3 linked regions of the Lonchura striata genome follow. The protein of the gene in region 1 binds, or shares a complex with, the protein of each later gene. Links are inferred from orthologs where the notes say so. Each region holds a gene or a part of one and is shown on either strand. Other genes may lie near its edges. The genes, in order: CNOT11, CNOT8 and CNOT9.

What was found.
Region 2: CNOT11 (region 1) and CNOT8 share a complex: the UniProt entries of both Homo sapiens proteins name them as parts of the CCR4-NOT complex. The link is inferred for Lonchura striata from reciprocal best matches to the Homo sapiens genes CNOT11 and CNOT8.
Region 3: CNOT11 (region 1) and CNOT9 share a complex: the UniProt entries of both Homo sapiens proteins name them as parts of the CCR4-NOT complex. The link is inferred for Lonchura striata from reciprocal best matches to the Homo sapiens genes CNOT11 and CNOT9.

What each region holds. Positions count from the first base shown.
Region 1 is NC_134604.1:87,469,115-87,479,295, reverse strand, and holds the start of CNOT11 (CCR4-NOT transcription complex subunit 11), read right to left. Parts: upstream 5,034-10,181; coding exon 4,628-5,033; intron 3,420-4,627; coding exon 3,255-3,419; intron 1-3,254. UniProt on the Homo sapiens protein: Component of the CCR4-NOT complex which is one of the major cellular mRNA deadenylases and is linked to various cellular processes including bulk mRNA degradation, miRNA-mediated repression, translational repression during translational initiation and general transcription regulation.
Region 2 is NC_134617.1:5,119,184-5,129,667, forward strand, and holds the start of CNOT8 (CCR4-NOT transcription complex subunit 8), read right to left. Parts: upstream 4,591-10,484; 5' UTR 4,504-4,590; intron 3,229-4,503; 5' UTR 3,146-3,228; coding exon 3,029-3,145; intron 1,786-3,028; coding exon 1,592-1,785; intron 160-1,591; coding exon 1-159. UniProt on the Homo sapiens protein: Has 3'-5' poly(A) exoribonuclease activity for synthetic poly(A) RNA substrate. Its function seems to be partially redundant with that of CNOT7.
Region 3 is NC_134610.1:15,625,756-15,636,441, reverse strand, and holds the start of CNOT9 (CCR4-NOT transcription complex subunit 9), read right to left. Parts: upstream 4,924-10,686; 5' UTR 4,848-4,923; coding exon 4,824-4,847; intron 371-4,823; coding exon 191-370; intron 1-190. Other genes in the region: USP37 (ubiquitin carboxyl-terminal hydrolase 37), read left to right, coding at 6,040-6,195, 8,969-9,140, 10,214-10,314. UniProt on the Homo sapiens protein: Component of the CCR4-NOT complex which is one of the major cellular mRNA deadenylases and is linked to various cellular processes including bulk mRNA degradation, miRNA-mediated repression, translational repression during translational initiation and general transcription regulation.

The sequences.
Region 1 (10,181 bases):
GACCCTTCCCAGCTGCCCACACACACAATTTCATATGATTCCAAAAAATCTGCAAGAGATGCCCAACACTGTGAGTGGTAAGAGCATCATGAGAACAAAGCTGTTAATTTTTTGGCTTTCTGTCCTACTTTATCCAACTATTTCAGATAATGCAAACGTGCATATATGCTCACTGAAGCAGCAGAGTAGGGTATATTTTTCTATTAAAGGCAACAACTACAATACTTTTCAGCTACTTTAAAAAAATACCTATTTTAAAGGCGAAGTCCAAATAAGCTGGTTTATAAAACATATTTTCTACTTTAGCAACTATTTCAAACTTCATCTCATGAGTATTTTCATTTAGCCCCTGAACAGATGGGTTGATTTAACAAAAGAGTAGGGGAGAGGAATTGGGTGTCCTTTTTCCATATTTTCATTTATAGTCTAGAACTTAAATCCATCAGTCTGTAAGTCATGAGTTTGTTTGTAACCTAATAATCTGAAATTACTAGTGATGTTAGATAAGATGATTAGTGATATTTCACTTCACTGATTTGAGAAACCTGCTTGAGCCCTCAGTTATATGCATTGAAGCTCAGAAGCTCAACCTCGCTGCTTCAAGAAGAAGGGCTGAATTAACAGCTTCAGGTACGCAGAAGTAAGAATTACAACACAGTGATTTAACAGAAACTAACAGCAGCTTCGACTAAGACATTTAAATTTTACAAAACTAAACTGAAAACAAATCCTTAGGTTCCTTTATGGAGATTATTATTTTATTTTTACAGGTAAAAAGAAACTTTATTTGATTCTTAAGGAAAGCTCAACAATGTATCAAAAGCTTTACTTTCATCAGGTCAATTACTCCCCCATCAAATAAGGGTTAGCAGACAAACACTGAGGAACACTTTGCCAGGAGACCCATCCCTGCAGCTAGGAGAAAATTACTTTTTTGGATAGGGTAGCACACCAGGTGAACAAAAACATATTGTAGGGCAGAACCAAAGTTTGAATTAGCTCTCTGCAGACCACAGGGAAGAGAGAACAAAACAAGTGTTAATACTCATGCCCAAGATGCTTGATCCCAGCATTCTATTTTTCTTTTGAGGGGTTGTGGTGTAAAACCTTAAAACCAAAAAAGAAAATCAAAAATAGAAAATCCACCTTAGAGTTGCAAATAAACTGTCACAGTGAGCTCAGATTCAGAGGATAAGTGTTTTCATTTTCTTTACAAAAAAAGGATTGGGAAAGATAAACTGATAAAAAATTTGAATGTTTTCTAAATTATTTCATTTGATTTTGCTAAAGTAAGTCAAACTCATCCTACTCTGAACAGCCCAGAACTCATCTCAAGGACCATACTTCTAAAAAGCTACCAAGTGTTATATTATAGCTGTGACATTCTGTACATCCTGGGGAAAGGGTGTAAACAAAACACCTCAAACATTGCATCTTAGTGTCATCATCCTGCACCAGCTTCATTCTGCCTATTGAAGCATTAGGAGAAATATACTGAAGACTAGTGAAAAAATCATAGACTTTCCAAAACACAACAAACAGAAGAAGCATCATAATTTTAAAACAAGTAAAATATTTATCTTCTAAGAAAGTGATTAGAAAGCAGATAGTTATTCTGGGGCCCTACAGCAATAAGTCTGAGAAAGACAGCACAGAGCTTTTTCAGATGCAGCTGGTTTTGTTACATAACTTCTACAACTGCTTGTAAGCAACTGTGCACATTTACTGGCTTATGTAAACAATTATATAAATTTTATACAAGCACCATTAATGACTTTCTATTCTACTTTCAGCCATCATTATCTTCTATTTTAAAGTACAGTATGTGGCCTAGAGCATACATTCACCAAACCACAGTTTTGAGGTTGCCCAGAGAAGCTGTGGATTCCCATCCATGGAAATGTCCAAGTCCAGACTGGATGGGGCTTCAAGCAACCTGGACTACTGAAGGTGTTCATGCCCACAGTGGGTGAAGGAGGAAGTAGATGATTTTTATGGTCTTTTCCAACCCAACCCATTCTGTGATTCAATTATTTCATCTTTAATGAGAACAAACTATTTGGAAGGCAAACACAGTATCAAGGGGAAAACAAATAAAAGCACCTTGAGGTTTCTAAAGGCATCACATATGCCTTGGACTAAAAAAATGACAAATTACCCAAGCAAAATTTTAATTTGCTAATTCGTAGTCTACAAAATACAGACAGGATGAACACAAGAAGGACCAGAAAAGTTTGTTCACAATGGCGTGTTAAGGTGTTCGATTTGCATTTTCAAATTATCCCAGTCTGTAAATAGCAGCTAAGGAGGACCTCACAAGACATAAAGGACAGTATACCACAGCTTTACCAGTCAATGTCAGAGGCCACAGAAAAAAAAAAAATAAAATTACAATACCAAGATAAAACTGCAGGACACAGAAAATATAAATGGATATAAATGGTGCCCAACCTCAGAGCAATAAATCACATTGTACAGACACAGATCTGGAATGGTTAGTTTTCAAGCAAGCAGGTCTACTCCAACATACCAAGGGAAAAAGGATTTTTTTTTTCTGTTTAAACTGGTTCCTTGTTTCCAACAATGTATAATATTTCATCTTCACTCCAAATGTGACATGAACAGTCATGTCCCTCCTGTTCTCCTGTCAAAGGATAAGCATCACATTGCTTTTCTTTTCAATCTAGTAAAACTGGATTCCAACTCTTGAGCTAACACTGCAAGGCCTAACTTTGCAGTAAACCGAAGATATAATTGTAATAGTCAATTTTCCAGGTACAGCTGAAGTACTGGTATGTAATAGCATGACAGTTATGCTTGTTCTGTCATAATAGAAATACTGCAGAGGGTGAAAAGGGATGAAAATACAAAAAAACCCCACACAAACAACTAAAACAAAGCAAAAAAAAAAACCACTAAAAACGTCCCACCCTGAAAAACTCATCCCCCCCCCCAAAAAAAAAAAACACTCCTCATAGCTTTAGATTGAAATCTTCCTATACTTGCAAAATATTCTTGTATTTAAGGCAATTACATATATGCTTTAAAATTTACTTGTTAAGGAGGATAAAACAGTTAGGATGTAATGTCTGCCTGAAGTTTCTCTAAGTGCTTGAACACAGGCTTGAAGACCCTGAAGCATAGTTCAAACTTGTCCATATTCAGGACAAAAAGGTGTTTCTCAGGTGGCCCACAGTCACATTCCAATGAGACCTTCCATCCCCAAGAGCACCACAGCCACAAACCTTCCTTACCTGCTAATGCCAGCTGCAGCCCACTGATGTCCACCGACTGGGCCATGTTCCCCACATCCATTGCAGCAATCTGCCGAGGAGTCTTCTTGAACAGCTCTCTAGGAGGGGCCAACATCAGTTGTGAAAGAAAGAATTTCTCTGGAGGAGTTATGGGAGGTAAGAAGCCTGTGGAGACACAGTGAAAATCCATGGCTTTTAATGCAGGAGCATTAACAGTTTCTGTGCTCTTCCTGTATAACAAGCAAAACTAAGACAAACTGATCTGTTATTTATGACAAGGTAGGTGCAGCTGGAGAGTGTGTGACACACACAGAACTGTTTTAATGCAAAATACAGCACTACGTGATCAGTATTCTGCATGATGACAGCCACACCTGATGCTCACTCGGGTTCATTCACACAATTTCCAATCCAGACAAAAAGTGAGCTATTAAGTATGACCTGACATTGAAATTCACAGAATCAGAGAATGGCCTGGGTCGGAAAAGACATTAAGGACTATCTAGTTCCCATCCTCTGCCATGAGCAGGGACAGCCATCCCTAGGCCAGGTTGCTCCAAGCTCCATCTAACCTGGCCTTGAACATTACAGGGATGGGGCTTCCACAGCTTCTCTGGGTAGCCTGTTCCAGTGCTCCAGCCCTCTAACCAACTTGGTGGTTCTCTCTGTAGTCTCTCCAACAGGTTATTTTTTTTAGAAACTGCTTTACTCAACACTGGTAGTGTCATATTTACTGAAGAGGAAAAAAGTGTTTCACTCTCATGTATTTCTCTCTAACAGTTTTGTTTCACAGCTTTAAGGCCGTCAGAAGCCTCCTATCACCTCCAGCTTTTTGTGACTGCTTTCTCCCCAAAAAATTCCACGTTATCACAGAATCAATTAGGTTGGAAAAGACCCCCGAGATCATCGAGCCTGACCTATGACTGAACACTGCCATGTCAATTACACCAGGGCACTGAGTGCCACGTCCAGTTTTTCCTTAAACACCTCTAAGGATGGTGACTGCACCACCTCCCTGGACAGACCATTCCAATGTCTAATCACCCTTTCTGTGAAGGACTCCTTAATCCAACGCAAACCTCCCGTGGCTCAGCTTTACACTATGTCCTCTTGTCCTGTCGCTGGTTGCTTGGGAGAAGAGGCCGACCGCCACCTGGCTACAGCCTCCCTCCTTTCAGGCGGTTGTGGAGAGCGGAAAGTGGCCGAGCCTCCTCCTCTCCAAGCTAAACAGCCCCAGCCCCCTCAGGCAGCTGTAGAGAGCTACGAGGTCCAAGCAAGGGCCTGGCCGGCACCAAGCCCCCGCCGGCAGGACTCGCTCTCCCCAGGAGGGTTACAGCGCCGGGCCGCCCCGCTCCCCGCCGGCCGGGACACACCTGAGAGCGGGGTGCGCTCCGCCTCGTCGCCGCCGCGCTCGGGCGCGGGGTTGAGGAGGTGGGCGAAGACGGCGGCGAAGGGGTTGGCGGCGAGGGGCTCGGTGCGGTACATCTCCCAGAGCAGGTAGAGCGCGGTGAGGCGCTGCGCGGGGCTGGGCAGCAGGTCGGGCTGCTGCAGCAGCAGGACGAGCACGGAGCCCAGCCGGAAGTGCTCGGCCTTCCCGAAGTAGTGGTGGAAGGCGCTGGAGAGCCCCTCGAAGGTGCTGCCGCCCGCCTCCTCCGACACGATGCTCAGCAGGCTCGACAGCTCCTTCGGCGACAGGCTCATCCTGCCGCCCGCCGCCGCCTCGCCCGCCTCCGCCGCCGCCTGCGTGCCGGGCGCCGGGCTGCCCCCGCCCCCGGGCATCCGACCGCGACCGCCGCCGCTCCGGGCCCGGCGCTCCCCGCCGGCCGCGCTTTACGGCGCTGCCGCGAAAGGCGCCGGCGGCGTGCCGGGCTGCGGGGCGGCGCGCGCGGCCGGGAGGGCCGGGATTGGTCCGGGCCGCCCGGCGGGGGCGGCCATTGGCCCGGGCGGCGGCTGCGCGCGCTCCCGGCAGGGGCCGGCAGGGGGCGCCCGGCGGCGCGCGACGCTGCCTGCGCTGTCCCCGTGCGTCGCGGCGGGGCCGCGCCATGGCGGCGGGGCCGCGGCGGCGGGGCTGCGCCGGGAGCCCGTGCTGGGAGCCCGTGCTGGGAGCCCGTGCTGGGAGCCCGTGCTGGGAGCCTGCTCTCGGAGCCTACGCCGGGAGCCCGTGCTGGGAGCCCTGCGCCTGGAGCCCGCGCCTCCCGGGCCGGGGCCGCTCCCGGCCGCGGAGGAGCCCCCGCGCCCTGCCCGGCTGCGGGGCCGGGGGTGCTCTCGTGGCCGAGGAACACCTCATGGCCGCAGCACTTACACCGCGGATTGGGCCATTGAAGGGTCCGGAGCACAAGTTGCATGAGGAGCAGCTGAGGCTGCTGGGGTTGTTGAACCGGGAGAAAAGGAGGCTCAGCGGGGATCTTAACACTCTCTACAACATCCTCAAAGGAGGTTGTATCCCGGTGGGGGCCAGGCTCTTCTCTCAGGTAACCGGCGACAGGATGAGAGAACAGAGCATCAAGAGACACCAGGGGAGGTTTAGGTTGGACATTAGGGATTTCTTCACAATAAGGGTGATTTATACATTGGAATGGGCTGCCCAGGGAGGTGGCAGAGTCACTATCCTTGGAAGTATTTAAAGAAAGACTGGATATGGCCCTTAGTGCCCCAGTGTAGTTGATAAGGTGGTGTGCAGTCACAGGTTGATTCAATGATCTCAGAAATCCTTTCAATCTAACTGATTCTGCAGGGCTTATGTTCATCCTTATCTTCCATGGTCCAGTGCAGTTGAGACTATCCACTTTGCTGGTGGGGCTCTCAGCAGAGCTGGAGGGTGGTGGGCTGCAGTAATGTGTGCCTGGGAGTCAGGGATTGAAGCACATCCCTCTGAAGTGTGATGATGTTTCATTGGCTTATCTTGTGGAAGTACATCTTGTGGGACAGCAAGTCACTGGCTTAACCAGAAGTGCTGAGGTCATGGCCTGGAGGAAGGGCTTTCTGTGGAATGTGCTGAGAGGAGAAGACCTTAGGAAGTCCTGAGAACAGGCATTGATTCTTCTAGTAGTAGTATTCCTCCCAACTCACCCAGCCCTAAGGATCTTGGTTTTCCAGACAGCAATACATGTGTAAAAGATGGGATTCAGTTTCTAAAGTAATATAAACTGAAGGCTTGTGTAGATCAAGTAATGCAGGTGTTCTCTATTTCACATTTCTGGTGTGAAAGAAACCCAGATCCCAGAGGTGTAAAGGATTAATGTACATATAGAGTTGGTTAAAAAGGATGGGTCTGTGAGGAAAACAAGGTCTACAGCCAGGCAAGGCAAGATATGAAAGCCTTGCTGACAGAGCAGTTACCAGCGGACTGGATCACAGCGAGAAGTCTGCTTGCAACATATGCTGCTAGAAGAGTAAAGCAGATGGAAGAGGATGCCAGTGAACTCCCTGACCTGGCCAAGGGTATTCAAGGAAACAAAGCATTATTTGGAAGTTTAGGCCAATTTAGAGTTTACTAACAACTGCAACAATTACTTTAATTGTAAGATTTAGGAAGAAGATGAAAGCATTGCAGATAGCTGAGGAAGTAAACTATGTATGTGTGTGGTAGAGCTAGATGGAAAACTTGGGAAAGCAGAGGCCTCAGACCAACCAGCAGGTTTTCTGTTTCTAGTGTGCTGACAAAAGTTGCATTTGTTCATTTTCGGCCTGAAGTTTATGGATAGAAATGATCACATCTAAAATTGTGCCTTATATTGAGGGATGGCTTGCTGGGTGGATTAGCACCCAAACAAACCTTGATGCTTTTGTCCGGGTGATCTTTTTTGTACAGCCTGCTCCTAATAACAAACTCTGCTGAAGACAGCAGAGCTAAAAGAATAAATATGTTTAGAAAGAGAAAGCTGCTTCTTCTTTTCCTGTAGATTTCAGAATCATACTTCGCTCTTTGATGTTGTGCTTACTGGAATAATGGATGCAGAACTGCAGAAATGGACTTTAGAGAAATAAAAACTTTCCTTGATGACTGAGATAGCAAAAAAATTGTATTACTCAAATGTGCTCACTAATGCAGCCATATGGAAGCATTCAATACAAATTAAAAGGTTTTGTCAGAACAGGAAAGCTAACAATTTAGAAGATGGAATTCTTATTAGGAAGTGGGATAGGCACGAGCATCAGTTGACAAAGGGAATTTTGAAGTCACAAAGATTTTAAAACAGATTACCATTTCAGGGTAGGAAAAACCTTAATCCAAAAAAAAAAAAAAAAGCAACAAAAAAAACCCCAAAAACCAAAAAAAAAAAAACACCCATGAGTGTAAAATGGTCTTGGGACAGGAAGTGTAGTAAGTAAAATAGTGTTTCTGTGACTGCACAGGGCACTGTATTTTGCGTACACATGGGTGTATTGGACATCCTTGGGCTCAAAACTTGTGTAACGAAGAAGCGAGAGTGTGTTGTACTAGTGCAGACTCAGATAAAAGAAATTCTTGGCCAGATCTGAAATGGATTGCATTATACTCAGGGAGCAAGGTTGGGACCCCAGTTCCCTTGGTGGGCCAGGGGGATGAGTTCTGCAGGAGATGTCTCAGTGCAACACAGTCTCATGGCATAAAAGGAAGACTTCAGTTTTCTCCCTTTGCAGAACAATGCCTCTGGGTGCAGGCTGAGCATACTCCATTTCTTTTAGATGGCCTGTGGAATAGCTATTAAATGGTCAATATAAGCATAAAATACACCTGTCATTTTTTATGTTTGACTTTAAGGAAGAACCTCAGTAAAAAACATGCTTTGAGGTGCTAGAGAGGAATAAAGAGATTGGGGCTGTACTTAAGTTTCTGATTCTCATGCCCCTTGTGTAACCCTGTTCTGTTGGCTCAAACATGCTAATACATATTAGCCCAGACACAGAGATCCCAGACTAGAAGTGATAAAGGCAATCTAGTTTGGCAGGTTACTCTTTGCAAATACAAATAAAGCTTTACAAAATAATTGGGCTGTTAGAATGCAATTGATGTAGTATTTAAAAGAACATCAGCTTTTGATGACTTGTAATTGTTGCTGGAAAATTAGATTCACAACCAAAGGAGAACAATCAGATTTGATTTCCGGAGCTAAGGGCAAGGCTATGCAATTTAACTGTAGGAGTCCTCTTTCCTTCTTTCCTTCTTAAAATTTATGATATTATTTACTATTGTATTTTTTATTGTTTACTATTGTATTTTAGATGACACATAAGAAACACAGGCTACATTGCAGGTACTATAAAAAAATCCTAATGAGGGATAGATAGAAAAAGACAACATTTGGAAGGAGCAATAAAAGTATTAAAAAACTATCCAGCCAGTATTTTAGCTTCTTCTAGCAAAGAGGCTAAATACTCAGGAAACAACTTCCAACAGCCTATCTTTTATCCCCACAGTTCATTTAGGAGGGACACAGTAGGAAAGAATTAAGTCACACCTTAAAGTCAACGGGTGAATTAAAACTCTTCCAGATTGTTCTGTTTATTCTCATGAGAATTCTCTCTTGTAAACAAATTCCTTTCCATAGTAGTTAAAGTGACCCATCCTGTCTACAGTGTATTTTAAATAGCAGCATATCAGAGAAAGGAAGGAGAATATGCATTCTGTGTACATCTCTTTATGTGTATCTTTCTAGCAACAGTTAAATGTTTTCTTCCTAGTTCATCTTTTCATTTCAAAATATGAGACAGGACCACCAATACGGAAACAGATTTTGTTATTCCTGGAGTAATCAACAATATTGGCATGCTAACAATACCTAAAAGTCTTCCTGAGTAACTGTATGAGAATACATCTTCACTTGTTAACTCTCTTAAGCTGCCAAGGTATCTTGGATACAGCTTGAAAAGCACTTAAGAAACACCAAAAATATCATTGCATTAATGGCTTCATAAGTGCTGAATACTGAGTGGCTTAGAAATAAACATGGTCATTGCTGCAAGTTTTAGTGAGGTCTCTGCATTTTAAGCCACATGTGATCACACCTGTAAATTAATGTTAGTCCACTCTCTTGATTATTTGAGTGTTGGATGCTCCCAGAAGAGACAGAGCTTTGGCCCAATTAGATTTATGGTGAAACTCCAACAGGGACATATTGGCACGTAAAAGCAGCATAAAGTATTGCTATTTGCATATGTGTCTTTGGATAGACTCTTCTTCTGACAAGGAAGCCCTTTCCTGATCACTTAGAAACTCTTTTTCCTTCAAAAACTGTTTGAAGCAAAATAATATTCTCATTTTTCCTTTTTTTATTGCTCTTTTTTTAGATAGGATTTTTTAAAAATCCATTTGTAATTTAAAAATATCTAAGCATATGTTCTGTGTAGAAACATTCAGTCTGTGCATTGCTTGGGAAGTCTTCACTGTGAACTTTAATTTGAGCACTCAGCATTTTTAATTTGAGCTATGCAATTACATATCTGATACAAATGGAACTATTTCCGTTCCCTGACTCCATGACTTGATTTATGCCTTATGGTTCTGTTTTCATCCAAAATCAATTTAAGTAGAATCTTTATTTTTGCAGATAAAATTGCAGGAGGAAGTGATTTATGTTTAAGGTACAAATTTGAAATCCACCTTCTGAAAGAATATTCAATAATTCTGAACTGATTAGAAAGCTCTTGTCCAGGAAGTGGGAGATTCGGGTTTTCTTCATCTCCCTACAGGGGTTTAAACTCCAGCCCAGGCTATGGCTATTAGGAGTAGAGGGGAGTGTTTATCTCCTTTGGCTGAAGTTATTTTTCTTTCTTTACAGGCATTAAAGATTCACCACAAGAGGAAGGGAGAAAAAGCAGGATCTGATGGATTTAATGGAGTGTGACATTCAGGATTGTGGGTGGTCTGTGTTGTAGTCCTTCTTCAGAAAAAAGGCAAATGTGCACTATAGCAATCAGGTGTAAAAGCATACAAATACATGTGTG
Region 2 (10,484 bases), on another chromosome or scaffold:
TGGAAGGACAGCCATTTCACACTGTCACTGAGGACGACACCCGACGTCATCAGCAACTCGGCAAAATGCAGGGTATCAATCCCTTCTTCCTCATGCTTCTGGAACTGCAGCCCAGAACTGGCAAGGAGGTCTATGGAATCCTGAGAGTACATGTCTTCCCTGAAGGAAAAAAAACAAGCAAGTTTGCACTCAGGGTGCTGCCAAGACAAGCTCATTTTAGAAAAATTCTCCCCACACTATGTCAAGAATTGGAGTAACCAGTAGGATAACTCCCGGTTCCAGTTTGTCTCTCTAGAAATTTCAAACTGGCTCAGTTTCAATACCACTACTGCAGACTCCTACATCCATAATAAGCAGTTCTGTGATCAGTCTAACTAGTTAACTCGTTAACACTACCATTGCTAGTGCAAATTCTAAAGATTCCACCTCCATAGGACTGAAACTGACTGTTTCGAACAATGTCCCTTCTGCAAGGTAAAGGGAAGCACCACAGATGAGGCCCAGAGGAAAGGGGAGTTCTCCCAAACAGGAAGATGTGCAGCTCTAAAGCATTGGCCAGCATTCCAGTCTACATTTTTCCTTTTCACTCCACAGCATGTACCACCTTATCAGCACTTCGCTTCCATCTCTGGGAGTAAACAGAATTGCATCATCCTTGACTCAAGAAGGACAAGAATCATGTGTTTGGTGGAGAGCTGAGCAGGAACCTGACTTCTTTACTGGTTTGTGTCATTTGAGGGAGAGAAAACACATAGAGCCAAGTTCTATCAATATGATAACTCATATTCATTTATGACAACTCATAAATTAAGTGATCACAGAGCCACTTCACTCTGATTTCAATACTTGTAAGAAGCTCACAATTTGCGGAGTAAATAGTGCAACTTTTGGGGTCAAGAACTGGATGATCTGCACATAGCTACAAATTTTTGTAATTCTTTCCAATAACAGTTTCATAAAAATAGATTGATTTCCTCTACGTATGTGGTTTTGCCAGATAAACCCTTTCTTTATTTCCAGACAGCTTCAGTGGTAATTATGCTGAGTTTATCTCTATAATTACAGGGGAAGGGATAATGAAACTTGTTTCAGCTGCAGCCCAGGATATTACAGTATGGAGGAGACAAGAACTGCCACACTCCATTTAACAAGATTCATTCTCCTGAACAGATGTGATGATTACACCAACATGTTTTTAGATCCCAGCTTATACTTAAGCATGGATCTGTAAAGACGTCTTTTTCTTTTTGATGAGACTAGCACATCCATTTATTTTTAGCAGAAAGAGATGGAGTTTTACATAGATATATATATAAATGAAGTTTCAAACATTGTTCCAGGAAAAAAAGGCACACAAAATTATTAAGAGAAAAGATAATGAGGATAGAATTTTAGCATGGCTTTGACTTCCAGATACACTGTTAACTCCTGGCACTCCAAACTAGGTTCCCACACAGTCTGTACTAGAATCTGAATCCTTATTGCTCAGAAGCAGCCAGCAGTGATGAGCACATGGACACTGGTATTTGCCAAAGGAAAGCATCACTCCAGCAGAAAGAACAGGAAATTAATGCCAAGCCCAAAGACTCACGTGAGGTTGAATTTGAAGTTGAACTGCCAGGTGTTAATGCCAGAAGGGTATTCCCCCTTCTCATTTGTGAAAGTCAGGCCCAGCTGGATGATTTTCAGCAGGTCAACGTTACAGCGAAGGAGCTGGTACTGATAATCTATGGAGCTGCGGAATTCACCGATTGGCCTGACAACGACTCCAGGGAACTCCGTGTCCTGGCAGAGAAGGGAAAACTGAGTTTCACCATGGATTCTGTCAGCAGTCATTATTACCACTCTGTGAGGGCAGCCCAGACAGTGAAAACCTTCACAGCTTCTGAGGAACAGTCAATGCCCACATTAACAAAAACTGCTGTCAGTCAAACACACCTCAACAACAGCAGCCACCTATCAGATAAAAACCATCTGTTAGGTGAAAAACCTCTTACCCAGCCAGTGACTGTGTGCAGTCTGTGCTGAACACCAAACTGCCGCTGTTCCTACCCTCAGACTGGGTCACTGAGCTTCTGCTGACTACACACAAAATCTTTCACAATGAAGCCAGTGCTGTGCACCTGACATAATCTCTCCCTTGCCCAAGAAGTTTATCTGTCTACTCATACAGCACAGTCACTCAAACAAACCCTAAGAACACCTCCAGTGAGACTGAAAAGAAGCAAAAAGTTCATTTCCCATTGACAAATGTTAACAAAAAAATCATACTCACTTCCACAGCTGAATTTGACACCAAAATCCCCCACACTCTGCAAAGGCACCTGTCTTTTGCCACATTTTAATGAGGACTTTTCAGATTTTGAGGTTCAGTGCTCCTAAGCAAAGCTGGCAGAACTTACAGTACCACAGCTAAAACCAGTTCTTTATCTAACACACTGGGGTGCTGCCAAGCAGATACAGACTTGTAAGAGCAGGAGGAGATTCCTCCCACCTAGGGGAGATTATGCTCTTCTTAAATAAAGCTTTCTGAACATATTGTCTTATCTACAGCCAGAATATTTTTCTTCCCTAAGAATCAACATCTGCCTTCATTTGAAAGGAGGCAGCCCAGCTGCTAGCAGTGACTTGCAAGCCTTTTGACCACCACTCCCATAGCATCATCTATAATCAAATGAAGAAAAACATTCAAAGGACAAACACACTGGTGGAAAAATAAGGATTTAAACCCAATTGTTACTTGTTTAATTTTCCTGCTGCACAAATGAATACACTCTGAATAGCTAAATATTAAATAAATTCACGTTTTTAAGTTAGTCTCCTTCTTCCCCTTCTTTCAATCAACCCATACTCATCACCGCTTGTATTAAATTCTGAAAAGCTACCAAACAGCTTTTTATTTTTTCACCTCTTTTAGTTCAAATTTTCAGGGGGTAGGAAGAAACATTTCTCACTCAAGAATCAACTTAGTCCACAACCCCAAAAAATCCCTTGACTAAGGCAATTAGGTCAAGTATAAAACATTTACCATGGCAATGTAGCTGTAACTCAGAACAATCTCCCGAATTTTCCTCATCTCTTCCTCCAGGTTGTTGGCCCATACTTCACAGATAACCTGGCTGTTTTCTGCAAGGGCTGCTGGCATCTTGCAGGGACCAGAAAAAAGGCAGCTGATGCTGAACTCAAATGACAGTGCAGGATCACAAGCTGTGCAATCTTATCAGTGTGCTGCATTAAAGAGATAAATAAATAATGCTTTAAGTGAAGGAAGAATAACATGTGAATAAATGAGCTGTAGGAGTCAGTCACACTACCATTTTCACCTTCAAACAACCTGTTTAAAGTTTACACCAAGTTTTCCTGCTTTATCACTTTCTGTGAACATGCTGAATGAAATCAAGAGCATTTGTTCACAATATAAAAGTAGATGCACAATCAACAGTCCAGTAGAATCATTACTCCTATCTTCCTTTTCCTGGCATAAGCTTTGACACTTAGGGCACAAGACGTACAGGCAGGGAATCCTCATCTGTAACTCTCAACCCTCACTCCAGGGATATTTCTCCATCCCTGGAAGTGTTCAGGGCCAGGCTGGATGGAGCTCTGAGCACCCTGGTCTAGTGGAAGGTGTCCCTGCCCACAGCTGGGGGGAGGAATGAGATGATCTTGAAGGTCCTCTCCAATCCAAACCCCACTGTGATTCTATGATGAAGACAATTGTTTAAACACAGTAACAGAATGCATTAGAGAGAATACTCATTGGATGGAGTTTCAAGGGGTAGAAATATCTAAAGGGGGTGCTAAGAAGATGGAGCCGGGCTCATCTTCGTGATGCCAAGCGACAGAACAAGAGTCAATGGGCAGCAAGTCATGCACAGAAGTTTCCTCTGAACATGAGGAAGAATATGAGCAAAAACTGTGCAGGGACCGGGCACGGGAACAGCTTGCCCAGAGAGGTTTTGGAGGCTGCCTCAATGGAGATTTTCCAGAATGGCCTGGACACAATCCTGTACCACATACTCTGGGATGACCACACTTGAGCAGGGAGGTTGAACCAGGTAACCCACTGCGGTCCCTCCCAACCCATTCTGGGCTTCTTCCCCCTGGGCTGTGACTCGGGGCACACTGCGGCGGGCTGTTCCGGCTGGAACCACCGGCAGCGCCAGCAGCGCCCCAGCTCGGGCGAGCCACCGGCTGGTGCCGCTTTCCCGTAATAAAAACCCCGGCGAACCGCCGCCAGGCGTCTGCGAGCGGCCTGCGCCAGCGCAGGGACGAGCGCACCGCCGCGGCGCGGCCCGGGTCGCCTCAGGGCCCCTCACAGCCCGCGGGCGGCCGGACGCGGCTCAGCGCGGCCGGCAAGCGGGAGGGCCGCCGCCCGCCGAAGCCCAGCGCCAGGCGCGGCCCCGCAGCCGCGGTGGCGGTGCCGGTGGCGGTGCCGGTGGCAGTGCCGGTGGCAGTGCCGGTGCCGGTGGCAGTGCCGGTGCCCGCCCCGCTCCCCGGTACCTCCCGGCAGCCGCGGCCGGGACGCGCCGCTCCCGCCCCGCGCCGGCTCCGAGTGCCCCGCCGCGAGGGGCGGCGCTTCCGCCGCTCGCGCCGCTTTGCCTCTCGCGAGACGTGGCGGAGCGCGCGACGGGGCGGGTACATCTGCCCAGCCCACACCGGCTGGTGCTTCCCCCCCCTCCCCCCGCTCCCGCAGTGGGCTCGCCCGGGCTCCCCGCGCTGAGAATGGCGGGCGAGTCCAAACTCCGCGGGCGGAGGGGGGAGGGATGAAGGAGCTGGGTGTCTCCGCTCCCTGAGGGAGGCGTCGCCATAACGCCCGCCGGGGCTGCGGTGGGCTTCCAGCATGGGGAGCCCCCGGCACCCCGATCCCTTGGGACAGGGGCTGCGCCGGGCCCCGGCTGAGCGTCCCCGAAAGAAGCAGCGGCCGCCCCTCCCTGAGCAAGGGGAGGTGAGGGGGTCCCGGTCGGGGTGAGGCCCGAGCCCCCCCGGGCTCCCAGGCCGCGGGCGCGCAGGGTGGGAGCGGGATGAGGGTTTGTGTTCCAAGGGGATTTCCTGAAGCTGCTGGCCTGGCACGCGTTGCTCCTACGGTGTAGTGCGTATTAAGCTTATTAATGGAGCAAGTTCTGCTTCTTCCTGCAGGGGCTTAGAAGTCATTTAAGTCCCTACTACTACACCTGCAGACTTATAGGCTTCTGTTCCAGGAGTGGAATTTACATTACGTTAGCAACAGAAGGTTGTAGCTGGTAAAGCAGATACTGGTTGTGTAACACGGCTTTGCTGGCTGATGCTGATGGTACATAGGCAATTCATTTGGAAGCTCGTCTACTAATTAAACTTAGATCGTATTTCCTTTATTTTAGACTGCCGTCCTTCTGGACGGGGTTGCATCTTTTGTAAAATATATATTAAAATATAAATAAAATATATAATCAATAAATTATATACCTAGATTATAGATATAGCTGTATATCTAGATAATATATAGATATATATAACCTATATATCTAGATATATAGATTATATATCTATATATATATAGATTATAATCTGCATCTATAAAATATCTCTAAAATATGTGCCTCTATAAATATATATGTTCTGGTACTGGATTGTCTGCCCACCATATGGGAGTCTTTCCCTGAATCTCGGCTACTTGCCCAGCATTTTGATCAAAGTATCTGGAAAAGCAGATATTGGTATCTTTCACACATCAGACACCATTCAATGTCTCAGGTTTTATGTTCATGCCTCAGCAGAAATGTTGCCGTTAGAAAAGAAGAGGGTTTTTCAAGAGTTGCTGTGTTGAGTGACCTTGCTGCTGTCAGCATCTTGGTACATTCCCTTTATTGCGCATTATTTTGATTCAGAGTTTTATCTTCAGGGATGATAGAAAGTTACTGTTTTGCCTTATCTCTGCAGTCTCTGGTGTTGTGCAATTTATGCAACATGCAATATGCTACACTGCCAGAAAGTAACCACCTTTCTTCCTGTGGTCATTTGAGTCTGGGGTTTTGTACAAGGAAATCTGTGTTGTTAGCAGGTAAATTCAGCAGGCTGGATTACAGCACCCTGTAAATATAAGATGAAATTTTTATTTCCCAGAAGAGTTCAGAGACATTTTTCTTGCTCGTAAACCTGGTGCTTGAAGGGATGTTGAATCGAGGGGAAAAGGGAGGATGCATCTCCTCAGGCCACTGTAAATATCTGTGCCTTGGTACTGTAATAAAAAATGTTGCAGGCAATAATCACCTGTGATAAATTACATTTGTAGTGTGTAAAAATTTGTCTGTAAAACAAAGCTGTTCAGAGATGTTTGCAAGCACTGGAGACACAGTTTGCTCGAAGAAATCAGAATTTTTTTCAAACATGACATGGCTAATAAAGATTCAGAATAGCTGGAAGAGGCACCCTGCTCTTTAAAAAGTCCCATCATTTCTGTATTTGGAGGTTACCAAGGTTGCTTCCAGCTCCAGCACTCCAAAGCAAGTCTTGAAGAGTCCTCACATCTACATACGAGTGTAGAGCTGCATTATAAGGTGGAATAAAGGTCTTTAGCTCAATGTTTTCACACTGGGCAGCTGGAGCTGCATGTCCTGTTGTGCCTTTTCTTTAGAGCTTACTCACAGCACCACAAGAAACCTTCCTTGTGGGAACCCTGAAAGGTGAATTTATGTTTTCCTCAGCCTTCTGTTGTTCCACAAGTGCTCCCAAAGCACTGCAGTGCTAGGTGGTGGCACACGTGCCCTGGCAGAGGGTGAGAGATCTGGTTCAGAATGCAGGGAATTAGGCAGTGGGTGATGTGTGCCAAGTTCAGATTCCTCTTCAGCCTTTTGAGGAACTATCAGTATGGGCTTGTCCAGTCCCCTGAAAGATACTTCATAGATTTCCCCCTGATGTTCCTCTCAAACAGTGAAACAACCAGTGCTTATTACAAAAACTCTGGGGAGTGAACAAAGTTGTGTTAGGAAGTGTCTGATCAAAAAGCTTTTTTTGCTGAGAAGGAATCAGACTTCTTGCATGGCTCAGCAAAGATTGCAGCAGCATTGGAGTGTCTGTGGCAGAGACACCAGCGCAGGGCAGCCAGCAGGCAGAAGCAGCAGTTTGATCAGTGACAACCTGTGCTAGACACACAATTGCAGCAGAAGTTCAATGGCACTTACAACCCTATGACTAATGTGCTGAGTTGTCCCTATGGGTATGAATATTTCAGAGATCACCCATGCTGGAATTGAGCAGTGGTTCACAAGGAACACTGAGGTCTGAAATTCACTATTGGCTGTTGGTTGAACAGCCCTCCCCCTGCAAGCTCACATCCAAAGATCAGTGAGGACGTTATCCTTATGGCACCCCTCTCTTGAGATGCTCATTTCCACTTCCTCCTCTTCGTGAGTAAATAGTTTGAAGGAATCACATTCCTCTCTGTTGAGCCTGCTCTGTGTGATAAATACCAATTAGTAGCAACAGCTAAGAACTACAGTTTCTGTCCCTACCAGGGAATAGTTGGAACTAGGCAAGAAAAAGTGATGATGGAAGCAGTAACAGTGTTAAACACTGTTCACTCTTGCAGAGCTCTCTGCAGTTCCAGCTCTGCTGGAACTAGGTGTTACTGAGAAAAAGCATGTGTTGCTTCACCTGAGAAGGGCAAACAAGGATAACTGGGAGGCAGAGGTAGTATTCCCTGTTTTTCCTCCTGTGAAAAATAGATCTGGAGAGTTATGATAGTAACACGCTCAGTTCTCAGAGCTTAGTTTGCAATAGGGCACTATTTATGGGCTGAGTAACAGATTGGGGCCACATTTGCATAAGAAAGATCGATGCCGCTGTAAATTACATCTTGCTCTCTGCAATACCATAATTACACACTTTATGGTCTGTAAACAACATGCTTAAAGACAACTGAGCCCAAGTACATGCTAACCTATGTGTGTCTTCATCTTAGCCATGCAAGCAAAGCCTGTTACTGGTTGAGGGCACTGTGTAGCAACAGAGTTGGAGTAATTTTTAGATTTAGTACAACAGGATTAAATCTGGACTGCTGGGTTTTTGCCAAATTCCACAGTAACCCTTACTGATTTTAACAAATACCTTTGACCCATTCAGTTGCACTGGCAGTAGCTATTTTGTGCTCCAGCCATGAGTTGGTGAATTATAAAAACTACTTACTTTTAGGGGTGTTGGTGGATTTTTTGTTCTCAGGTACAACGATGAAAAACTTACCTGCAGAATCAGTGTATTCCACGTGCTTAACTGAGTAACAGCATGCACATAGACATGGGGAACAGTGCCAGCACTAACAGTGACATGGCACTGGCTTCACATGACTTGTCTGGGAGGGGACAGGCAGCTCCTGCTTGGAAACACACCCCTATTGCCCTTGCCTAAACCCTCATAAAGTTTCGACAGGAGATGTGAAAAGTGAGGAGCTGAACTCTGCTCTGAACAGACAAAAAGGACCTCTCCTAGGCTACCATCAGGCAGGTGGTGAGAAAGAACAGGCAGCCAGAGTTCAAGGGTGCTTGAAAAGATATGATAGAGACTTTGAGGAAGTCATTAAAAGGCAGTGTCATGTCTGTGTGAAGTCCATTGTCAGCTTTTCTAGGAACAGGGGTTCCCCTAAAACTGTGCAGTGCTTGGTAGGACATCAAACACCACTTCTGGTCCTGTGTCTCTCTACACAGAAATGCGGCTGTTCAGGTGACCAGGTAAGTGGTCCTGTGTTTTTTGTTCTGTATGTTCTGTACTTCTGTGGATAGTCACAGCCTTTGTTCTCCCAGGAACAATTTTCCACTGTCTGTGCCATATAAAGGTTGATTTCAGTGAAGTAAGACCTACACCAGAGACTTCAGGAGGAAGGCACAGGGAATCCCAGGGAGCTGGGGTGGGCAGCCAGTCCATCACCTCAGATGGAGCTGTTCTGAGCTGTGTCTGCCGTGCACAGAAGGACGCAGTGCAGTGGGTGCAGTACAGGGAAGGGGCACCTGTGCTGCCTCAGCTTGAGGCTTTCTGGGCACCAGAAGGAAAACAGAACTGCAGGCATGGGGCATAAATAATAATTTACATGTAAACAAAAAAAAAGTAACAAATACAGCAGGGTTTTTTTCAGATTCTACTCAGATTGTATTGAGCATTATACTATGTATTATATTGAGCATTTTAAAACATGACTTAGACAAGCTAGCTTTTTTACAGTACCAAAAGTGAAAAATTCAGTGAAAACAAGATCTATGACTTAATGAACAGTTTTTGGGCAAATTAAGTTACACATGGAAATAATAATATTAAAAAATGTATTACAATTCTTGATTGACTAGTGTATGTTTCCCCTTTAATGTCAAAAGACTGATTAGAAAGGCAATTACTTTTACTCCAGGGTTGAGAATTTGCTTTGGATCAAATTTTGTGTTAACTAATTCAAAATAACGGGAAAGGAACTTTTTTTAAAGCAGTAGTAGTTATAGCTGATATTTGGAAATAGCTACAGGCAGCTGAGAGCTTCAGTGGTTGATTTGGGGCTGTAAAATATGCCAACATGAGAGCAGTGCCAAGCAGCTGAATGGCTTTTTTGTTTGCTGAAACAGCCATGGTTACATGAATGTTTTTTTAATGTATTTGGTGCATTCTGAATGAGGAGAGACATTACACAATAAAAAAAGAGTAGGTAATGAGATGTTGGGGAAAACCTACTCCAATTTTTTTCTGGGTTTAATGTAAATGTAAAATTTTATCCTGAAAAGTGGCTTAATAAAGGCAATCTTCTGAAACAGAGGGTAAGCAGATGTGGCAGCTCTGCTTTGAACTGGAAATCTTTGCCCAAGCCAGCCTTCTGTCATAAATTGATAATTTTAAAAAGGGTACTAGAAATGTGATTGTAATTCTGACTCTTTACTAAATGCAAGAATATGTAACTCAATCAAGTAATAGCTCCTTCTTCTAAAAACTTAAAGCAGTCACGTTTTCTACAGTGCTCTGCTCTGGAGCTCTTCACATGCAAAGGTTCAGCAGGTTTGAGTCAGCTCTGCTGGATGGAGGAACCTCTGGAGCATCAGCCTTCCAGCTCAGTGAGGTTCCCCTTTCACATCTGCCTCTCCTCATCTAATGTTGTCTGCTACAAAGTCATCAGAGCAGAATAATCTCTTTAACCACAGAAAACTATGGCCAGCACTATTTACTTTACTGTCCCAGCAGAATAATTGGATATTGCTCTTCTCAGCTCCCTGCTGGGTGGTTGTAAAGATAGGGATGTGCACAGCCTAAGAGCAAATAATAGGAGTTATAATCAAAAAAATTCCAAGTGGAAAAAACTGACAGTGAAGGTTGTCAAATACTGGAACTGATTTCCCAGAGAAGCTGTGAAATCTCCCTCTGTGCAGACACTCAACTGTTCAAAGCTCTGAACAACCTGTTAAGAAAGCTGGAATGGAGCAAAGCCTCAAAGGAATGGATTATTCAAGCCTGACATATTTCAAGCTTTAGTAGTGTTTTCG
Region 3 (10,686 bases), on another chromosome or scaffold:
AGTCAATTTTACATGGAGTCACAGGAGTGCATTCAAACCTTAATCTGCTCCCCCCACCAAAACAAAGATCATACTCCCAAGCAATGGCAACAAGGGATCCCACCAGTTCCTCCTCAGATCCACTCATGGATGCACAAGCTCTGCAGCACGGAACAAAGACACAGACAAAGACTCAGACAGCCCAACCCACCTGAAGGAGTGCTGCGATCGTGCCGAACGAGTGCCACAGCATTGGGGCGAGGTCGGGCACGGACTCGCGCTTCTTGCTCAGCTCCAGCAGTGCATTCTCCCGGGTCTCAGGGCTGGACAGCTCGTTGATCCATTGGTAGATCTTCTCACGGTCAACCTGAGCCAGGGCTGTTGGCACAGGCTGGGAGGGAGACAGGAAAGCTTCAGTCCAAACTTCAATCCAGTTCTCACCCAAACTGTCCCCACAATCTGACAGAAAAAGAAATTCCTGGGAGGGCAGGACCTAAAGCTCTATTAAGACGTCCTGGATATGGCTCCACCCCTTCCTTAGATTAGTCTTAGTATTTCACCTATTGAAATTCTAGGGCTTTATTTCCTGGCCTGAATGATTAAAACAATCTCTCTTAATCCCCTTGTCAAGCAGTACCACTGTAACTTCATTCAGCACTGAGAGCCAAGCTGCTGCCCAGCTGTGCTAGCAGAGCTCCTGGGAAGCAACATACATTTCAGCCAGCTATGATTTGTTCCACCTGCATTTAGCATGAATTTATTTCATGCTTCAAGTGCAAGATTCCACAGATTCAGAATAAGGCAGAGCTTACCTTTTCCTAGCCACAAACACCCATGATATTGGAAACTGCCAGTGAGATTCATCCAATACACATGAGAAAAATATTCATACAAACACTAGAAAAAATTTCACTACTTCACCATCAGTATGACATTGGCCACAGGCAGTAACAGCTGCTGTTACCAATGGCTTGTATTGATACCAGGTTCATTGTTCACATGCATGGAGCTAAAAGGGAATTTTTCAAGAATTAATTTGTGCAAGATCTCAGGATGATATGTTTCCTGTTCAAAATAAACCCAGAGAAGGGTAGATCAGTATTCCTGGCCAAGACACATTTTCTACTACTCAAGGGAAAGTAAAATTTTGCTTTTGCCTCTCTTGAAACATCAGGGAAATAACAGTATCAAGATCAACAAGTTCTCAACACAAAAAAAATGATGGAGAAGAGGGACTGTAGCGTAATTTCTGTGGAGAAGGCAAGGCACAAGCCCTTCACTGAAACTTTGTCTCCTGCCTCTGCTGGCACAAGCAGCACTCGGTGCAAACAAATGCTCTGCAGATTTCCTAAGGAGATAATTTGGCAACTCAGATACAAAATTTTGAGGAAGACAAAAACCATCACTAAAACCTGTGTGAACATTTCCAGAACCAGGTCAGAACCTTTTCAAACACTGTTGCAGTGGTTGTTATTAAAGCTAAGCACAGTCCTGTTGGTACTTGCTGCTCCTGAGACAGCCCAGCCAGCATGCAACCAGCTCTCCATCCCACTGTGCACGGTGATCCCAGCTGGGAACAGGACTGTATTTCTTTATTTTGTAACCCCAACTGAAACTCTTCATGTGCTCCCCACAACAGATGCATGCAGAGCGCATACCACAGTGACAGCAACGCTGTCACCAAGCTGCTTAGCACTGAGACACACAGAATACAGGGGAGCTCAGGAACTGAAAGTGGCTGCAGCGAAACCTGAAGCCACATGGCAGAGGCAGTCCCAGAAGGTATGCAGGAGGGATGGAGAGAGTTCTCAACCTTTGCCAGACACCAACAGCTTTCTTCCTCTATGCCTGCAGAGGTTTCCCTCCTCTGTTTATCCCCGTTTTATTTCCACAGTCACATCCAAAGACATTCTTCCCCAGCTGTGAGATTTCTCTCTGCTCCATCCACCTCCATTGTATTATTTAACGTAAATGTTCATACGTAAACCAATGTGGTGTTATCAGTCCCTCTATTCTAGGGCTCAAATACTTTTTTAGCTGTTCATATTTCCTCCTGTCCTCTTTTCTCTCACTGTCATGGCTTAAGAATGGTATTCTCCAATTTAGTATTCCCACTGAAACCATTCCAAACCACTTGCCACTCACTCCCTCTCTCTTTCCAGTCCCAGTCCCCCTGCTCCAAGATGGAAAGGGGAATGGGGGCACAAAAGGTAAATATCACAGGTTGAGATAGCAACAATTTACTGGGAACAGCAATGACATAAGAAAACTAACTAATATTAGTGACAGAGGGTACAAGAAAAGAAAAGTTACTGCTCACCCCACAGAATTCCCCCTACAATACCAACTGCTTCCTGGGCCATGCAGCCCCAAGCTCAAATCAAGTCCTTTCTCCCTCTCTGAAAAATGATGTGAGGTGGTTCAGAATAAACTCTGGAGCCTAGCTATGCTTCTTCCCATCTAATGCAAAAAATAACTCTGTTCTGGGCATAACCAGAACCAGGACACTCACCTACTCAATTTCTAATTTTTTTTCCCCAAAATCTCAAACTAAATTAATGATCCTGCCAAGTTTCTTGTGCCCCTACAATTGTGACTGCAATTGCAATGCTAACTTCTACACTGAAGCTCAAAAAGAGAGGGAGAATGAACAGAGCTCATTTGTTTTTATGTGGGATGGTGGATTGACAAGCACTGTAGCAATAATGTTGTTATAATTGTGTTATCTAAAGCTTCCATCTATTTTTCTAGACTCACTGGAAGTTTCAGTTCCTGTAAGCTTAAATACATCGACCCCTTAAAAGCACAATCATGTGCTTGTGATCCCTAGAGAACACTAAGTAGATTTTCCACACAAGTTTATGATGTCCAATATATGCCTTAGCCAGAACAAATTGCTTTTCATAGGCCCTACAGTTGCTCTTTTTGTTTTAGTTTATATGGACTTTTTTTCTTCCCCCTAATTCCCTATTTCATTATTGTTTCTTCTTCTCCCTCTAAGACCCAAAATTCTGGGGAACCCTGAAAGCCACACAGATCTTCCAAGCTCCAGGACAGAACCCCACCAGGTAGACTTTCTTTTGCACACAGGGAAAACAAAACTTATAAACAGTATTAGATCAGAAAAAAATCTTGTAACATCTTTTCTCCTTCTTGGAGAAAAGACATCTCTAATGCTGACATAACAAATTGATTTACACAAAAGGCTTTCTCCTCCTAATTGAGCAGCTGCTGCTAGGCACAGTGGTAAAAGTCCTGCTGAGCCAAAGTCTAAGCTCACTGACTGTGGTAGGAAACATTTCAATACAGAACTACCAGTTAGCATAAACTATGCATAAATTAAATATACATTCAAGTGAGTCCTAAAATAAAGTTGCTCTCTATTCTGAAATTTTTTTTTTGTTAAAATTGTCTTTAAAAAGGAGAGGTAACTAGACACAGGATTAATGGGAGATATGCCTAATGGGAGTCCTTCATGCATTTTAACAAACACTAAAGAATTACAGTGCTATAAAAATGTAAACGCTGATTAAGAAAGTTTACCTGATCTGGCACACCCTTCCATGTTCTGGAGAACAGTACTTAAAATCAGAAGTATTTGACAGCACTCCAAGAACTAGTTAAAGTCATAAGCATTTAAACAGAGGAGAAATGTAAAAAGTTCTTTAACTCCTGTTCATCAAAACTTTACTTACTCATTAGCTTGGCAGTCCAACCAGACCCTCGATCTAAGTTCATGTGAAACAGCTCTATCTGCTGGCTTTGCATTACACCTCCCACACTCAGTACACACAAGACTCAATCAGCTCTAGGAAGTCTTTCACATGCCATGAACGAGCATTTGGAGAAGAAAAAACCAAAACACAAACCCAATCACGTGGGAGATACAAAGCAATAACCACATCCTTCAAACTCCGCTTCCATTTTTGAACCCACCCAGGCCAAGGTACTGTTCCAGTCCTGCCAGCCCGAGCATCAGGCACCGTATCCAGCCATGGCAGGTTCCTGAGGAGGAAGAGGGCAAGCACCAGCTGTGGCCGGTGCTGCACTGCCACGGGACAAAGGGAAGCAGGAGCAGGCAGCACCTGCTGCCATGAGGGGCTTTTCACCGTCTACTCTTTCTCTCTGCAGTCAAGGCCAGCAGTAAAACAGCTCCCCAGAAGGCAGAGGAGGTGGCTGGGCACGCAGGAGGTGTTGCAGATAAGTGTTTTAAGGCCACTTAAAGAAAATGTACTCTGAATATTTTGCTTCAGCGGGAGGGTCTTCCTTATCCCTTCTTGTCCTACCTTCTCCTGTCCTTACCATTTTCTTCCCTGCTCTTCCCCCTCCACACACTCAGCGGATAATAATTTTTTGGATTTATTTTGGCTGTAGATTAATCCGTTTTAGACTTTCGTCTGCTTTTCTTCGATGTGCTTCTTTAAAAGTAGAGCAAACCCTACCAACAAAATTTGTCACGCTTCTGCTTTTGTATCAAACGTGCTTTTGCCGACACCTTTGCTAGTGGTTCTCTAAGGAACCCCAAAGCCCTGACTCGCTGCAGGAGGCAGCGCGGCAGGCAGGGGGAAGGGGGAACGCCATACGTGAGGCACACGAGGCACAGCCGGCTCACCCAGCGGCAGCGAAACCTCCGGGCCCCGGACGAGCCCCGCACGGAGCAGCCGGAGCTCGGCAGCTGCCGAACGGACCGCGCCAGTGACGCCGCGGGCGCGGAGCTCACCGGGGCTCCGCCACCGCACGGCCTCAAGCTCCCCCCGCGCCGCAAGCAGCCGCGCTCCCGCTCCCCGCACGGTCCGCGCAACGCGGCCCCATCCCCGACACGGTCCCGTGGGCGGTCGGCTCACCGCGGCCGTGGCCAGGCTGTGCATGGTGGCCGGTGGGAGCGGAGCCGCCTCACGCTGCCGCCGCCATGGGCTCGGCGCCGCCGCCGCCCCTCCCCGGCCGCGCGGGGCACGCCGGGACGGGCCCGGGCGGGGCCGGCGCCTGCGCGCGGGGCGGGCGCGCGCGGGGCGCGCCGGGAAGGCGCTGCCGCGCTGACGTGAGCGGGCGCGCGTTGCGCGCGGTCTCGCGCTGTGCGGCCGGTTCCCGCCATCCGCCGCCCCTTCCCCCGCCCCCCCCGGGCCTCGCCCCGGGCCCCGCGGGACGCGCCGGGACGCGCCGGGACGCAGGTACCGGGCACCGCAGGTACCGGGCAGCGCCGCCACCGCGCAGCGCCGCCGCCGACTCCTACCCGCTCCCGCCGGCCGTCCGCCCCTCCCGCCGCGCGGTCACCGCCTGCCCTCCGAGCGGCCCGGCCCGGGGCGGGCGGCGCTGCCGCGCTCACCGTGTGTGTGAGCGGCGGAAGCGGAGCGCGGCCAGGCCCGGGAGGAGCCGGGACACCGCCGGGTCGGGCGGGGAGCGGCGGCGGCTGAGCGCGGGATGGCCGGGGGAGGCTCCCCGGCAGCGCCGCCCGGGCTGCGCGCAGGGGCCGCTCCATTCATTCCCGCCGGGATCTGTCGGGAACGCGCCTCGCCGTGCTCTCCGGAACGCAGCCGGGGCTCTGTCGCCCCGGGCTCGTGGCTTTCCGCGCGGGGAGCAGCGGGGGAAGCCGGAGACCTCCGTCCCGGCCCTGCCAGGTGGCCGCGGGTCCCGCGCCGTCAGGAACGAGCTCGTTTTCTTAATCTGGAGTCCTCCTCCAAAACTCTGTTTCCCATCTCTTGCTATCTTTCCTCAGGCGCTTTTTTTCCCTCCCTTACCTTAAATCCGGTGAAGTTAAGGGATTTTAAGGACTTTTGTGTCTGGAATTCTGTCTGCTCACCTTTCAGCAGTAAGGAGTCGGTGCACTGCTGTTCATACTGGGAGAGATTTTATTAATCTGAGTTTTCTACAGTGCCGTCCCGCTCTTCCTCACTGCGTTTAAAATCAGTGAAACGGTTCTACCAAACTTCTACGGAATGTTCAAGCCATGCTTCCATCTTCCTTTAGCCATTATTTGGCCCACAAAGTTATACATTTCTCCTTTTTAACAGGTTTTTAAGGTGGAGCACACTTACTGTTGTTAGCTCTTTTCTGTGAGAAAGCATGGCTCTGTTAAAGGTGCACGGACCTGTCCGGATGCGCAGCATGCAGACTGGGATTACGAAATGGAAAGAAGGGAGCTTTGAAATTGTGGAGAAGGACAACAAAGTGAATCTAGTAGTTCACTACAATGTTGGAGGAATTCCAACCACGTTTCAGGTATGCCAGACATTAAGGCTTTTGTTTTAACAGTGCATGGATTGTGCTCTCTTGTGAACAGCTGTCCTCTTCAAGGCTATTAAGTGTCCTGCAGACTTCCCTCTGTCACTGTTTCTTGTTCCTCGTTTCCTGAACACTAATCCCTTTGTATAACTCTCCAGTAAATTATTTACACGTATTGTTAAAGGCTCTACCAAGGTTGGCATTGAGATACCACTGAATGGGAAGGACCAAAAAAGCAGAAAAAAGTTACAGAAGTATAGAGCATCGTGGTTCACATTTCAGATTTTTGGATCCTGTGACCTTTCTCTTACTGGCACATTTGCATTCTCTAGAGAAGATCCTGACCATTTTATATTAGCTGTTTCCCCAGCTGAGGTGTAATGATGTTAATACACCTAATGTTCAGACTTTGCTGAACATTACTTGTTATGGCTGTTGTAGGTTTTTAATGCAGATGTAGATCACTGTTAAAAATACTCTTGAAATATTCAGCTAAATTTTTTCTCATTCTATAGTTGTTTTCAGGTCAGTCTTCCTAGATTTTGTGCAAAATGCCCCAAATCAAAAGCAGAGTGATTTTTCTATAAGAAACACATACCTGTTTTAAAAATATGTAATTGACATAAGAGCAGTTGGAGGAAAAAAAGATCCCAGTTTGTTTAGCAACTTTGCAATGGCCTAAAGTGATCTATATGTTGGCTTCTGCTTTTTCACACCACTCTTGTTTTTTGTCAGTAATGTTCACCAGGCTGTTCTCTGAGCCATTTATTTCTGTGTGTGCAGATGCTATGAAAAAAAAAAGTTAATTTCTTTTTGAAAAGTTAGTTTTTTGCTGCCTTAGTGTCCTTAAAAGTCTCAGCCAAGAGTCTGGCAGCTGGTGTTGCCTGGAAATCAAGGCTGTCAGGAAATCATTAGCTATGATTGCTCCCACCTGTGTTACTGCAGACTTGCAAAGAGTCTCTGCCTTCTCAGGTGTGCTGCTGTGGCTGCAGGTTTCGTTTAATCCACTGTTGGACCATGTTGCTCCTGAGGAGAGCAGTTTTGTCTTCCCCTTGTGCATTCCCTGGGTGCCTGTTCTCACACACTCCTTTCTGCCTGATGAGTGATGTGGTGTGACAGCAACTCACAGGGAGGTTCCACAGGGAGGATGAGCCTACAGAACAGCTAACCATGGCCTAAAGGGGCAGGTTTTCTTCCCAGCCTCTCATGTCTGCTGTCTCTGTCACTTGTCAGATCTCTTTGTGAGCTCAGTGGAGGGTTTTCACAGAAATTTGGGGAAAGGACTGAATGCAGGATCTAGCAGACAGGGTGATAAGCAACCATGCACCTGAGACTGCAGCAAAGGAGGAGGAGGAGGCTTGTGCTGAAGGGTAGTTTGTGTGAGACATCCCCAGGCTGTTGGCATGCCACTTCAGGTGTGACAAATTCCTGATGATCTTGCTGTAGAAGTAGCATTCCCTGTTTTTTTGACGAGCTGCTCTGAGAGGACTGTGAGTGAGCTTCCTGCCTGTTTTTAGTTTTCTGTAATGGAAGGTTTGGATGGAGCCGATATTATGTTTCTTTCTACGGTGACTAGTGTGCCATCGAATTTATTCTGTTAAATGATGTCTTGGAGATGTTTCAGAGCTTTAACTAAGTTGTCCTAGGTAGTATTAAGAGAATTACTTTGTTTCCCCACACCTGCCGAAACTATGGATGGAGTCCTCTGACAGCATTTTGAGTTGAAATGGGTTGTTTTGCTCTGAGATGGTGAAATAATTGTAATCCCTTTGCACTGGACTCAAGTGTTTCAACAGCATGGAAAACTTGGAGCCTATTATTCAATTCTTAGGTCTTTGAAGGTATTTTTAGCTTATATTTTTAAAAAATCCCAACAAAAAAGCCAAACCCAAAATACAAGGATTGAGCACAATGTGTTTCAGAAGTGTAATGCTCACATTAAAACAAACCCATAGTTACTGATCAAGGTGGTTTTTCAGCCCCTCTTACAAGCTGCTGTTGTGTCTAGATTGGTTTTCCAAGAAGCTAGAGATCTAAATTGAAAAAAAAAAAAATCTTGTTCTTGGGCATGAAGTGTCTTTTACTATCTCAGTCTTTTTGAGCTGCCCTCCACTTGCACGAGTAGTAGAACTTTACCCAACAGCCAGTTTTTGTAGGTGACTTAGCATGAAACACAAGTAAGGTTATTATATTACAAAATAGCAGTGGCATCATTAGGAAGCACAAAGTCTTATTAAAATTATTTTTGTGCTCAACCATAACCCTGAAGGTTTTGTCATCACTTAATTGTTAAGATGTTGCATACAGAGTAAGCATGTTTCTTACTGACTTACCTCCTCAGCAGATTTTTTTAAATCTGTCTTCTTTGGGAGCAAATTGTGAAGTGAAATATTTGTGTTTAATACTTGAAACTTTCCCCATCCTAAATTGTATTTTGCTCTTGATGTGGAGGTTTTTACCAATTGGGACTTCGTGAAGTTGTTTTTCCTTTACACTTACAGATGTTACACTGAGTAGAAAAGCAAGTTTCAGAAAGCTTATCTCTAGAGACTGTTAAGCAATAGTGACACTGTCCTTACAGTTCTGTCAGATGCCAAGGTCACAGATTGTATTAATTTTATGAGGTTTAATGTTTCCTTGAAGTGGAGCAAGGAGAAGTATTTTGGTGGGAGTCTCTTATCCTGTCTATTTGAAATCTTTTGTTTGAATTTGTAAGTATTTTGGGCTTTTAAGGGTGGATTTATGCTTATAGTCACTTTCTTGTTTTCAGTTAAGCCATAACATTAAAACAGTGACCTTACGACCAAATGGCAGAAAACTGTGCTGCCTGATGCTAACACTAAAGGATACCAGCTTTCTGACAATTGATAAGGTACCTTTTAAAGATGCAAATGAAATGCGGATGTATTTGGATGCAGTCCATCAAGACAAGGTTCATACTGGTAAGTGCAATTGTTGTAAGTCATGTTATAACATTATGGAGAGGTGTTGTGTTCTCTTTTTCCCATCTTATCGTGGTTTAACCATATCCAACAACAGCTAAGCCCCAAGCATCTGCTCACTCAGTCTTCCTAGTGGGGTAGGGAATAAAATGAGAAAGTGAAAATGAGGAAACTTGTGGGCAGGCACAAAGACAGTTTAGTAAGTGAAGCGAGAGCTGTGCACGCAAGCAAACAAATGAGGAATTCACTCACCACTCCCTGTGGGCAAGCAAGTGTTCAGCCATCTCCAAGAAAGCAGTACTCTACCTGTGTCATGGTGACTTGAGAAGACAAACACCATCACTGTGCCTCCCTCACTTCTTCCCCAGCTTTATGCACTGACCATGATGCCACACGGTGTGGGATATCCCTGTGGTCATTTGGGGTCAGCTGTCCTGTCTGTGTCCCCTCCTGCCTTTCTGTGCAGCCTCTGCTTCCTGAGGGGTGATGTGAGCAGCAGAAAAGGCCTTGACTCTTTGTGAGCAGAGCTCAGCAATAACTATAACATCTCTCTTATCAGCACTATTTCCAGGACAAATCCAAAACAGCCTTATCATTGCTACTGTGAAGAAAATTAACTCTCCTCCAGCCAAAGCCAGCACACATCTTCAGCACATTTTGTCCCTGTGTTCCTGGCTTTCTTTGCACTTCTGTAAATGCTTCTTTCTGGCCTCAAACCCCATATTTTGTTTTATACCTTTCTCAGCTGAACAATAATCAGAGATTAACATAGGGAATTTTTTACGTTGTGTGTTGGTATTTGAAAGGTTGTTAATTGCCCATACACAGTCTCTTTTTATTTTACTTTGCTTTTTTTTTTAAGGATAGGAAGTTTGCTGCCAAGTGGCTAAATGACCAGTATGAGGGATATTCATAAACACGTGCTTATGTCTGTGCATTCGTAATATTGTAGTCTGTTGGCAAGAACTCTGGCATGCCCTTTCCAAAATCAACTCCAGCTAAACATTTTGCAAATAAAAATCCCAGTCAATTAAATGACAATCAGCTTGAATATTGTCTATTTTTTCTGTCAGCTGGGAAACCCTCACAAGGTTCTGGCAGTTTTGGAGGTGTGCTGGGCAGCAGGACCACACAGAAGGAAGCTAACAGGCAATTCTCTTACATAGAGAACCAGGTTTGTTAAACTGTTAAAATTTTTCTTCTCTAATTTTCTTCTGTTCTCTCATTCTCTTTATGATGTAATGACACTATAAAAACTTTACATCCAAAGTGTTTGTAATGTAGAGAGCTTGAAATAGATGAGTATGGAGTGGTGGGCAATGCTGTATCTTGTTTGTGAGGAGACATCTGTATGAGTAAGGAAGGTCAGTGTCTGGCTATGGAAGTCAGACTGTGCTCTTCATATATGGGCTTTTAGGCATAGAAGTAGAAATGGAAAGTACGTGACTGAGACTTGCTTCTCATATAGTTCTGAATTTCCCTTTGTTTTATGCCAAACACCTTACATGTGTGTGACCATGCGTTAGTCAGCATAGGTCTTAATGGG